Linked DNA regions of Kluyveromyces lactis. The protein of the gene in region 2 interacts with the protein of the main gene of each other region in a pairwise test. Links are inferred from orthologs where the notes say so. Each region holds a gene or a part of one and is shown on either strand. Other genes may lie near its edges.

Region 1 (5,407 bases), on a different chromosome or scaffold from region 2:
AGTCTTGTTCTTTTGTTTTCGTCTTTTCACTTCGACTGTAACGTTATGGTCATTATCGACCCAGTTAATGGTTTCACCCTCTGCATGGTCATAGATGAAGTCGCCAGAGTAACCCAATTCGGACTGGTAGTAGTATGTCTTTGTTAAAGTTTCGTTAGTGAAGAATTCGTTCTCTTTATCGAAGGTGAAAATCAATTGGAAGCCTGGTTTACCCTCAGTTAGATACTCTAGAGTGATGTTCGTCAAGTATGTCAATACATCACAGTCAGCTTCTGTCACGTTTTGAGAAACCATTGGTAAGTTCTCCATGGCTGTCAACCAGAAACAAGGGACACCAACGATCTCTTCCTCACCTTCCTCCGGTTCCTGGTCATGCTCTTCTTCTTCATGCTCATCTTCACCATCCAAAGATCCCCCGCGTTTGATTTCTTCTTCAGTGGCTTCCTTATCACCTGTGATCAACTCGTAACGGTGTTCGTGTAATGGTTTGTATTTCTGCAGATATTTTTGTTCAAGTTCCAACATTTCAAGCTGGAAATTCTTCTCCAATTCGAACAAATCGGACTGAATAGCCTTTAAGGCTAAGATCCTATTGTTCACAGCTTTTGGGAGTCTTTCGAAAGCTTCTTCATCGCCTTCTTCCTCTTCCTCTTCTTCTTCTTCTTCACCCTCATCTTCTTCGTCTATGTTCAAGAACTCCAACTTTTCATTGATCCGGGATAAAGATGGACTCTCGTTGTATTCGCTATCGTCATCCTGATCTTGATCCTGGTCAGACTGCTGCTGTTGCTTCTTCCTTAAATATGAATCCTTAAGCACGCTAGCTGGTGTGTTATGAGGCGTTGGTGCATTATCGATCTTACTCGACCTCGATGTCTTGATAGGGTTGGACATTTTTATGATGTGATCCTTACTATTTTGCCAAATACACTCAAATGTATACAGCTAATGTAGTTCAAATATCCTGCTGCAACACTCCAAGTATCACAAATAGCCCACTACCTCTACGATCAGATGTTCCAAGCTGTTACGTTTCCTACTGAAAGAAAATTTTCTGGCTAAAAAATGCTCTTCTTATATATTCCTTACATATTAAAATAGATCACGGAAGCATGCAAATACTGCAACCGTATGCCAATTCAAAGGACTAAATCGTACCAATTCCTGGTAAAAAAACTCGGAATAAAGCACTCCTGATATCAACGGTACATTATATAATGAATCTTGAGCTGTAAAATACTCTGAAGTAATCCTGATCCCCTCTTCTTTCTCTCAATAGTCGCTTTCTTTGGATATCAGAATTTCAGTTTTATAAAGAATGCAATAAAATTAGAAAAAGCAGCAGGGAATTCTTTTCAAACAAGAACCAACTACCCAATTAACGGTCTGCTCTGCTCATTATAGAATACGATTTACCATTACCTGTTCGAGTTTAAGGTCAGCAGTTTACAAAACTATAATAAGTTTCAATTTTAACATGGTTCGTGCTATTATTGCCCCATCTATTCTAGCCAGTGATTTCACTAAATTAGGTTGTGAATGTCACAATGTGATTAACTCTGGTGCCGATTGGTTACACATCGATATTATGGATGGTCACTTCGTTCCTAATATGTCATTGGGACAACCGGTTGTCGAATCGCTACGTAAAGTTATCGGAAAGTACAACGATCCAGACACCAAGTTACCAAGAGCATTCTTCGATTGTCATATGATGGTTAGTGAACCTGAAAGATGGGTCGAAGATTTTGCTAGGATCGGTTGCGATCAGTTCACATTCCATTACGAGGCTACAAAGGACCCGGTAGCGTTGGTTAAGCTAATTAAGAAGCATGGTATGAAGGCTGCCTGTTCTGTGAAGCCAGGTACCCCTGTGGATGTGTTGTACGAGTTGGCACCATCCCTGGATATGGCTCTTGTAATGACTGTCGAACCGGGTTTCGGTGGCCAAAAATTCATGGCCGATATGATGAGCAAAGTGAAGGACTTGAGAACTAGATTTCCTAATTTGAACATTCAAGTCGATGGTGGTCTTGGTAAACAGAATGTCGAACTTGCTGCCGAGGCAGGTGCCAATGTCATTGTTGCCGGTACCTCTGTGTTCCGCGCGCACGACCCAGCAGATGTCATTGGATTTATGAAAACCAAGGTCAATGATGCATTAGTGACCAAAGGTTTATACGAAAAGTAGTAAGTACCTAAGTACATATACGCACTCTTTTTTATGTCAGAATAATATTTAATGAACGATCCGTTTAAGATCTATCCTAGTATACAAAATGTTTATATAGACAATGCAAACCCCATTTAACGATTTTTAAGACTCTCTACAAGAAATACTGACCACCTAGAGTTGTACCAGAACCTGTCTGAAGGGATAAACCTTGAGATTGAATATCTTCCAACACCGTGGAAATAGCCTCTCTCATCTTTTCCAATTGTCCTTTCTTGGTTTCCTTCTCCTTCTTCACAACAGGCGCATCAATCTGCATACCACCGTTTTCCTCACTTTGAGATTGTAGATCAACTAATAGTTTTCTTTGTTCCACGTATTTCAAGTTACGTTCGATCTTCTTTGCTCTTTTCTTCGAAAGAGTCTTGGTCGTAAGAGCACCAGAGGTCGAATGCTCGCCTTTGTAAAGATCCAATGGTATACTCTTCAACTGACCAGATTTAGATGTTCCTGAAGATCTTGCTGGTGCCAATAAACCCTTCTTTTCCATAGCATCTCTCTTGGCAGCACGTTGATGAACCTTACGGTTCAAGTTAACCTTTTGCTTTGGCCTGTTAATGGAGTTCTTAGATGGCATCTCGAATTTTAGTACTGTGATTAACCGTTAACTTGTAGTTCCAGGAATACTAGCCAGTACTAAGAGTAACAAGTAACAAGATAGCTAGCACAGGTGAATAGTAACGGGGGATCAAGTACATGGTATGGAGATGCATTAACTTTTCAACAGATTCGCGATGAGATGAGATGAAAAATTTTAGAAAAGAAACGGCAGTACAAAATAGATACGGTATTAGTTAATGAAAAATGCTAAGATTTAAGCCAAGACATGCCGACATTGGTACTGGAGAGCACCATCTATGGAAGGGGTAAGAATAGGTGGTGATAAAGGCCACGGTGCTCATTACATTTCGGCTAACTGCTCACTTTATGTATACCAGCGTTATTTCATGGTAATGAAAGTGACATAGTTACCCGGATATTTAAATACGACCCACCCTTAGAATGGACCAATACATGAAAAAAACACACGGTAGTTGGAACCATGACAATAGAGAAAGGATAGAAACTATATACTTGTGTTCACAAGGATTAGGAGGCTAGTTTAAGTTCAACCGTTGGAGTTTTGTCTTGCCTTTCAGCGATAATTTTCTAGTTTGAATATATCGATTCTTGATTGAACAATTCGTATCAATATTCAAGTTTTATCGACAGTAAAGACTTAAAAAGAAAACACCAAATGACTAGTGATGCCGATGATGTGCTAGAGTTTTTAGACTCTTTACCAGCCAGTACTGCTAATAACACTAAGGGAAAGGGTAAGGTTAGTGGGAACGGCGGCCAGGATGAGGATATTATGGAATTCTTAGACGAATTGGAAAATAGTAACCTGGATATTAAGAAGAAACCGTCCAAAAAGGACAAGCCACAATCCTCTAAGAAGCAAGAGAAAGAGAAACCGGAGGAGAAGCCAGAATCGAACGAGAAACCTGTAGAAGAGACAGCCAGTAAAGAGAAACCGAGTGAACAGAAAGGAAAAGAAGAACATGTGGCAGAAGAAGGTGAAGAGGCAGTTCAGGACCCACTGGCGTCAATTTCCAATTGGTGGTCATCTAGCGGTTCTGCTACAGTATCCAGTTTCTGGAACAAGACCACAGAACAAGCCAATCAATTGAAAGAGAAGATAGCTACTCAAGAGGGCAACTTGAAAATAAACGACATAGGGGCCAGATTAACGGCATTGCAGGGGTCTCATGTCATTTCTGGGCTTACTTCACAATTGACTAAGATTGTCATTGGTGAAACGGATGAAGTGATCAGAATTCATTTGGTTCATGATTTACACAATTTGAACGAGGAAACGATTACGTATCAGGTGGAAGACCAATTCGAAAGATTACTATCGCAACAGGTGCAAGGTGGAATAAGAATATTTGCTGATGAATGGGATCACGGCAGGAAAGTGGATGATAACGTTAACTTGAACCTTTTCCAAGGTAAAGCCGTTGACGGTGAAAAATTATGCTTGGCCAACCTTGACAATGCAATCAAGACGTGGGAGACTGCTAAGAAACAATCGAGAAGAACCAGTAACCCAGTGAGTAAAGTAAGCGATCTTTTTGTCAGCATTCTGGCCTGCGAGGTTACTGGGAAAGACGGATCATCCGAAGCCGATTCTAACACTGTTTTGATCGACGCATCGAGACAAAACAACTTCCATTTCATTGTCATCTTGAAAGACATAAGTAATGATATCTTGCTAATAGTGAGATCCCAAGGTTACCCCTCCAAATGGGCCAAATGGTTACAATCCGATGCACTAAGCGATGAGGAATCCACAGAAAAAATCGACCCAAGTGATTGGGTGAAACCATGGATATCCGAAGGTCTTGATCTAACTTTCGGTATTCTTGCCCAACAATACGTCATAAGCAGAATGAATTTGTGAAGTGTCTTTTACATACATATTTTAAAACCCTAATTACTGTTATTAATCATCATTATTATACTCCCATATCAGTTTTTTGGTAACCATTTCTCTTTCAACGATTGAACCGTCGTGCCTAATACAGCTTTTTCCCAGTCAACCCATAAGCTCGTCTGTTTATTCCAAGACCCATTCTCGACACATTTCTGCAATGGTGACCCAAATAGTGGATCCTCAGCAGCTTTTTTCAAAAGAGATTCCGTCTTAGGAATCTGTTCCATTAAGTCGGGCTTATCAATTTTTGCCAAATATTCCAATTGATCTCTAGTAGGGAATTTCTGGCATATTTCAATGTTGATTTTGTTCTTGTGGTTCGATTTTAATGCCGTTAGAAGATTTTGAGCATGAGATGATTCTAATTTGTGTGTGAATAATGTCACTACGCGAGGTTGAAATTGGATGGTTTTAAACATAGACATGATGAATTGAAGATACTGATTGTCAATGTCCCCCTCTATAAAAAATTCGAACTTTTACTCAGTTAAATACTTCAGTCTAATTAAGTCAGGTCACCCCAGTAATTGTTGCTGCCTTTATATACGCAATACTAAATTAAGACATCTTTGAAATATGTACATTTTGGAAATCATACTATTATCCCTCAAATACGCATGGCAGGGAAACAAAATCCCGGAAAATCCAGCAATCAATACTATGATACGGAGTCATGACGTCCCTACTTAGTATCC
Region 2 (6,701 bases):
GGTGAAGAACAATGTCAGATTAGTTTACAAAACCTAGTTCACAATAAATCATGTTTATAACAGGCGCAAGATCAACGTAAGAAAAGAAGATTGTAGCACGAATTATTGAGGTAGTTTTTGGGAGTAATGAGAAAATTCTGTATCGTTGTTTTGTTTGGGAAGAAATTAAAACGCAGGTAATCCGTAATGGCAGGCATCAGTAACCAGATAATGTTCTCGGCATTGAGAATAAGCATCAACGAAGTCTCATGGAGAGAGAGAGAATGAGAAGTCACAGATGAACATTCATGTTTTAAAACCGAAAAAAACAGTTATCTGAATAGAAACCATACCGTGAATGAAATGAATAAAAAACACTTGTATCTAAAAGGTGTTTTTTTATGATTTTGGTACTTTAATATTGATTGGTGGAAAATAGCAGATGCACTATACAAATAGTATCATCTTGTGAACCTTATAGCATAATATTGTGAAAGGGCAGTTTATAGGAATATAGTTGTCTTTCGAAAAGGGAAGAGTAGAGAGATGGGAATAAAAAAAAGGATAAACGCAAAGAAGTTAACTTTAACGTTCAATTACCTAATTCGTTCTTGCTCTAATCTCTGAAAGCAAAGCTCTTCTTAGCAAAATCCCAAGTATCTTCTTGCAATCTACCTCTTAGGGTTGGAGTTTCAGAACCTGGAACGTAGACATCCTCGAACAAGATGGACATCTTAGCTTCTGGAGCTGGGGCAGCATCAGCTAATTCGACTTGCTCATCGACGTACTTTCTAGCAGCCTTGTCGTAAGCCTTAATTTCATCTTCCGTGGCGATACCCAATTCCAATAAGTGCATCTTTAAACCTGCAATTGGATCGTTCTTAGATCTCATGTGTTGGATTTCATCTCTGGTTCTGTAAGTAGTACCTGGATCAGACATAGAGTGACCACCATATCTGTAAGTTTCGTATTCAAGAACGATTGGACCGTTACCGGAGACAGTCCAGTCCTTAGCGAACTTGGAAGCTTGGTAAACAGCCAAGATATCCATACCGTTAACCTTCAAACCAGGAATGTATTGACCACGCTTGAAGTATTCAGTCATGGCTGAAGATCTTGCGGCAGCGGTACCCATACCGTACTTGTTGTTTTCACAACAGAAGACGGCTGGTAAGTTCCATAACTTGGCCATGTTGAAGGATTCGAAAACTTGACCTTGGTTAGAGGCACCATCACCGTACAAGGCAAAAGAACAAGCATCTTCGTGTTTGTATTGATGAGCGAAGGCCAAACCAGCACCCAATGGGACTTGGGCACCAACGATACCATTACCACCGTAGAAACCAGGGGCGTACAAGTGCATGGAACCACCCTTACCGAAGGACACACCAGTTCTTCTACCCATCAATTCAGCCAACACAGCTTGAACAGCAGCACCTCTCATGTAGGTGAAACCATGACATCTGTAAGAGGTGATGACGGTATCACGCTTAGTGATAGCGTTTTCAATACCAACGGCAATGGCTTCTTGACCGACAGAGGAGTGACAGAAACCTCTAATTTTCTTAGCCTTGTACAAAGCGTCACAGGCCATTTCCATTCTTCTAACGATAATCATATCCTTGTACATTTGTAGCAAATTGGACTTGGTGGTTTGATAACTTAATTCAGGAACATCCAAAAGATAACCTTCAAAAGAGGTTTCTGGCAAATCAATTTGAACTAGGTCATCATCACCTGGCTTAGTTTCATCAGCAACCTGGGACAAAGCACGGACGTTTTTAGAAAAGTTTCTAACCAATCTCAAAGAGCTGGACTTCCCAACCACAGAGGATTGAGCTTTCAAAGATAGCATGGTTTGCCTAATTTATTGTTCTTTTCGGTATTAACTACTATAGCGACCAACAATTAGAACACACAAATACACACTCAGCAGTAGTGATGGCAAAATATGTTGTATAGAGAAGAAATAAAGAAGAAGAAGCTCTGAGTTCCTGATTCTATATTAAAACAAAAAAAAGCCAACTAATGAACGATTCCTTGTTCCAAAAAATTTGACAAAAATCAATCAATCAATCAATCAGTCAGTCAATTAATCAATTGCTTGGCTCAGTATCACTGAAAGACCAAAAAAAGGTTCTTAATCACGCAACAACTGTTTCTCATCATATTCACAATTAAATCCGCCTTTAAATACTTGTGAACTTGGGAAAAAAACTTCAAAAAATTTCGTAGCCAGCCAGTCGGTATAGATAAGGGACTTGAAATAACAAGAAGTGGGTATAAGCAAGGTCAATTTTGCTCTAATTGGGGTCAAACTTGAACCGTTGGGTAGCTGATGATGCGGAGAGTATTGATATTCTACTTATTATGGGATATCTGACAGTTTCGTCTGGTGTAGGTAGAGTTTATTGTGCTGATTCAATTAGACAGACGGGATTGTTGTTAGAAAGAGTGGGAAAAGTGACGTGCACAGCGCGGTGTTTGGGTGGAACATGGGCAGCAGATCTATTACCCGGATAATATGCGGGTCATGAGTTCTAATGATACACATTACCCGAATATTAATACTTTTGGCGCACGTGATCAGAAAGTGATTTCTTTTTCATTCTCTTCTGATCGAGGTCCGGGTAATATTTTGGAAAATTTTTTGAAATATCTTAGTGCTGTGTGGCAGGAAAGGTTGTATCCAGGAAAGAAATTTGGAAAAAAAAAGTATCAGTGAAAACTTTAAAGCGATGAGATGAGATGAGGTAAAGAGAAACGAGGTACATACTTACATCATTATCATAGTGTATCGTTCCCTCCTTTGTATCAGAAAACAGCTAATACTAATAATTTGTGGATAAAATTATCCGTACTATGGCGTTACAAATCTCAAAGGAAGACACTCAGGTGTTATTGAAAGATAAGAATGTATTGATCGAACCAACAATTGAGAAATATAGAACTGCAGGTCAAATTGCTCAGACTGCTTTAAACTTTTTGATCAGTTTGATCAATAAGATGTATCATGAGAAGTCTATGGAGCCGCTACCGATTCATCAACTTTGTTTATTGACTGATTCGTTCATAGCCGATTGTTTAAGTACTAAGTTCAACAATAAGGTTAACGAGAAGGGAATCTCAATGCCAACTTGTATTGATATCGATGAAATAAACGAGAACTGGTGTCCTGAAGTGGATGACATCGAAAACTTGTCCCGTTGGAACCAAAAATCTAGATCTACCAAATCGATCGAGCTATGTAACGGTGTTACTTCTAGTTTGTCTGGGTTTTTGAAAGTTGGTGATGTCGCTAAGATCACTTTGGGTTGTCACATCGATGGGTACACTTGTAACGTGTCCCACACCGTGGTCATTTACCCAACCGTTCAGGATGCCCAATCTGGAAAATTGCTACCTGAAGCTGCTTTGCTAGGTGGTAAAGCTGATGCTCTAGCTGCCACCCATATCGCTGTTGAGTCCGTCACTAACTTATTAGCTGCTGCAAACGATTTGACCAAACTTCCAGCTGATTTCAACGCTACGAAGGTCACTGGTTCCTTGATTAGGACCGTAGTTGACACCATTGCTCAATCTTATAATTGTTGCGTTGTGCCTGGTTCTCGTATCAGAAGAATCAAAAGATTCCTTTCTGGTCAAAACGAAAATATCATTGTCGAAAGAGACTTCAAAGGTGTCATTTGGACTGAGTCTCATCAGGAAGCTGCTATGCTTGCTAGAACCGTCAATGAAACTGCTGTTGATGTCAAGCGTAAGAACCCATTTATCACCGAAGATACCGTGGTCCCAACAGATGATTTTACCGTTGTCAAGGGTGAAGTTTACATGATCGATTTGAAGTTGGCTCCATTGCAAGGATTGGAGCCAGGTTTGATCACTTTACACACTGTCGATCAATTCTCCGGTAAATCTGAATCCTCTGATGTGGTGGCTAGACCAGGTGCCATCTGCCGTGATTTTTCAAAGAGCCATGTTCTAAAGTTAAGAGCTGCTAGACAAGTGTTGACCAGATTGGATAAACAAGGTGTATACCCTACCAAATTAGCTCATATCGCTGATTCTTTCCCATTGGACGTACAGGAGCCTGATTTCGAAACCATCAAGCAAGAAATCAAGCCATTCAGATTAGGTCTTTCTGAAATTTCTAACAACTACCTAACAATCGACAGAGATGTCACCATCGTAAAACACGTTCCTTGGGCTAAGATCTTGGATCTAACAAACCCATCCGGTGTGTCAAGTTATGACGCCATGGCAAAGAATAAAGGTTTATACCCAGGTTTCGAGCTTCCTCTACCTAAACTAGGTTTGTCCAACCTACAGTTGAAATCCTTGCTAAAAAAACACTCTACGCCAGTTCCTGTGGTCCGTCAATGTGTCACTGTAGCCATCTGTGATGAAGAGTTGCTAAGAATCAGCGGAAACCTAAAATCTAACTGGGTTCATTCTGTTTACTCTATGGATACTGCAAGCAATATCGTTGCAGGTATATTCAAACTGGCTCAATTGTCCGAGGATAAGAGATTTGGTTTGAAGATCAGAGAAACTCAACCATGGAAAATGAAATTCTAATTTATTCATTACCAGTATTAACTACCTTCTTTGATAGAACTACTTCAACAGATAACAAATTCTATTTCATACACAAACACCCTTTTCGCATCTGCACACAATAACTCTACATTGATACACCAGTTCATATTATATTCAATACTCGTTTGATTTCGGTAGCCCAAGAGTCTTGTTCTTATGAGTCTTTATTCTTACCAACCAATTGCAACAAAAACAATGTATAAATAGCAACTTCTAAGTATCTTGTAGATCTGTACACTAGCAAAATCATAATAGAACTCAAGCTCTCAACTTTGTCATTAGTTCTTCTACTATTAGTGTGTTTGCTTCGGAAGGATTATCAAAACGTTCAAAATGATGGCGGCTAATTAGATTTTAGTATAAAAAGGATTTGGAGTCAGAAACCAAATCAACAAACCCAACTACCAATGAATATGACATAGCGAGATATCTAGTGCACATAACTAGGAGCGAGAAGGTGATCCTAAAAACCAATAACTTTGCATTTCATTCTACTTGAAACGTCCCATTCCATTTCTATTTAAGCTGTCATGTCTACAGAGACAGAAACTAAAACCAATGTGGTCAATATTGATGAGTTACAAAACTTCGGAATTAACGCGTCTGATATAACTAAATTGAAGACTGCTGGTATATTTACCGTTAACACTTGTTTGTCGACGACCAGAAGGAATTTGTGTAAAGTTAGAGGGTTATCGGAAGTGAAGGTAGAAAAGATTAAAGAAGCTGCCAATAAAATCATCACCATTGGCTTTATTCCAGCAACTCTGCAATGGCAGATTCGTCAAGCAGTTATGTCTATCTCTACCGGGTCGAAACAATTCGATTCTGTACTAGGAGGAGGAATAATGACAATGTCCATAACTGAGGTGTTTGGGGAGTTTAGGTGCGGTAAGACTCAATTATCCCATACGTTATGCGTGACAGCTCAATTACCAAAAGAACTAAATGGACCTGAGGGTAAGGTTGCATATATTGATACAGAGGGTACTTTCAGACCAGAAAGAATCAAGCAGATAGCACAAGGGTATGATTTGGATCCCGAAGTGTGCCTTGAAAATATCTCGTACGCCAGGGCACTCAATAGTGAGCATCAGATGGAGTTACTTGAACAGCTTGGCGAGGAACTCTCTTCAGGAGAATATAGACTATTAATAGTAGACTCAATTATGGCCAATTTCAGAGTTGATTATTCAGGCCGTGGGGAATTGAACGAGCGTCAGCAAAAACTAAACCAACATCTTTCTAGATTGAATCGTATCGCTGAGGAGAACAATATCGCAGTTTTCATGACCAACCAAGTTCAAAGTGATCCCGGTGCTTCTGCCTTGTTTGCTAGTGCCGATGGTAGGAAACCTGTCGGAGGACATGTCTTAGCCCATGCAAGTGCGACAAGAATATTATTGAGAAAAGGTAGAGGTGACGAAAGGGTCGCGAAATTACAAGATTCGCCTGATATGCCGGAAAAGGAGTGCGTTTATGTCATTGGTGAGCGTGGAATAATGGATTCTGATGAATAAGCCACTATGGGTGGCTCGTAAGAAAGACATACTTTCTATCGATAGAACGTTTTTACGAACAGAATAGTACAACTCTATAAACAAGTGACACACATCCATTTCCCTTACCACTTCGATAGGTGTTTTCTAATAGTCATATTCAAATCTTTCTGGCATGACAATGGGTGCGAATAAGGTCCAGCCGTATAAACCATAACAAATCCAAGCACTTATGATTTTAACCCATGAATAAAAGTATGTCCTGCCAACAGGAATAAAATCTCCAACATCATCTTGTGTAACATTTATAGTCAATAGGATCACAATCCATTGCGTAGCTAAAAAGAAAATGAAATGAAACAACGAGTAATTGTATTTTGTTACATTGAATTCATCATCATCACCATCTTCCCTACCAGAATCATTGACATGCATTCTTTGCTGCTCAGCTTCATAATCAAGCAAGGCGGATTGGGGCAAAGCACCCTCCTCAACTGCTTGTTTGATCGCTTGCAACCTCAGTTGATTACGTGTCTCTCCTATCCCGGAGTATTCAACATCATCATCGTATAAAGAAATCGCTCCGCTACTACCTCTTAGTGCGTTGTTTGCTGCAGCTCTGGT

Evidence for each region.
Region 1: the proteins of ARX1 (region 2) and ALB1 interact in binary tests that used the Saccharomyces cerevisiae proteins (3 or more experiments, as listed by UniProt). The link is inferred for Kluyveromyces lactis from reciprocal best matches to the Saccharomyces cerevisiae genes ARX1 and ALB1.

The regions. Positions count from the first base shown.
Region 1 is NC_006041.1:1,343,603-1,349,009, forward strand, and holds ALB1 (Alb1p), read right to left. Parts: upstream 2,811-5,407; coding exon 2,328-2,810; downstream 1-2,327. Other genes in the region: histone chaperone NAP1, read right to left, coding at 1-894; ribulose-phosphate 3-epimerase RPE1, read left to right, coding at 1,478-2,191; DUF5427 domain-containing protein MTC1, read left to right, coding at 3,471-4,679; FMP46 (putative redox protein), read right to left, coding at 4,748-5,137. UniProt on the Saccharomyces cerevisiae protein: With ARX1, involved in proper assembly of pre-ribosomal particles during the biogenesis of the 60S ribosomal subunit. Accompanies the pre-60S particles to the cytoplasm.
Region 2 is NC_006042.1:1,096,562-1,103,262, reverse strand, and holds ARX1 (putative hydrolase), read left to right. Parts: upstream 1-2,841; coding exon 2,842-4,557; downstream 4,558-6,701. Other genes in the region: PDA1 (pyruvate dehydrogenase (acetyl-transferring) subunit E1 alpha), read right to left, coding at 596-1,834; recombinase DMC1, read left to right, coding at 5,109-6,098; TMS1 (Tms1p), read right to left, coding at 6,225-6,701. UniProt on the Saccharomyces cerevisiae protein: Probable metalloprotease involved in proper assembly of pre-ribosomal particles during the biogenesis of the 60S ribosomal subunit. Accompanies the pre-60S particles to the cytoplasm.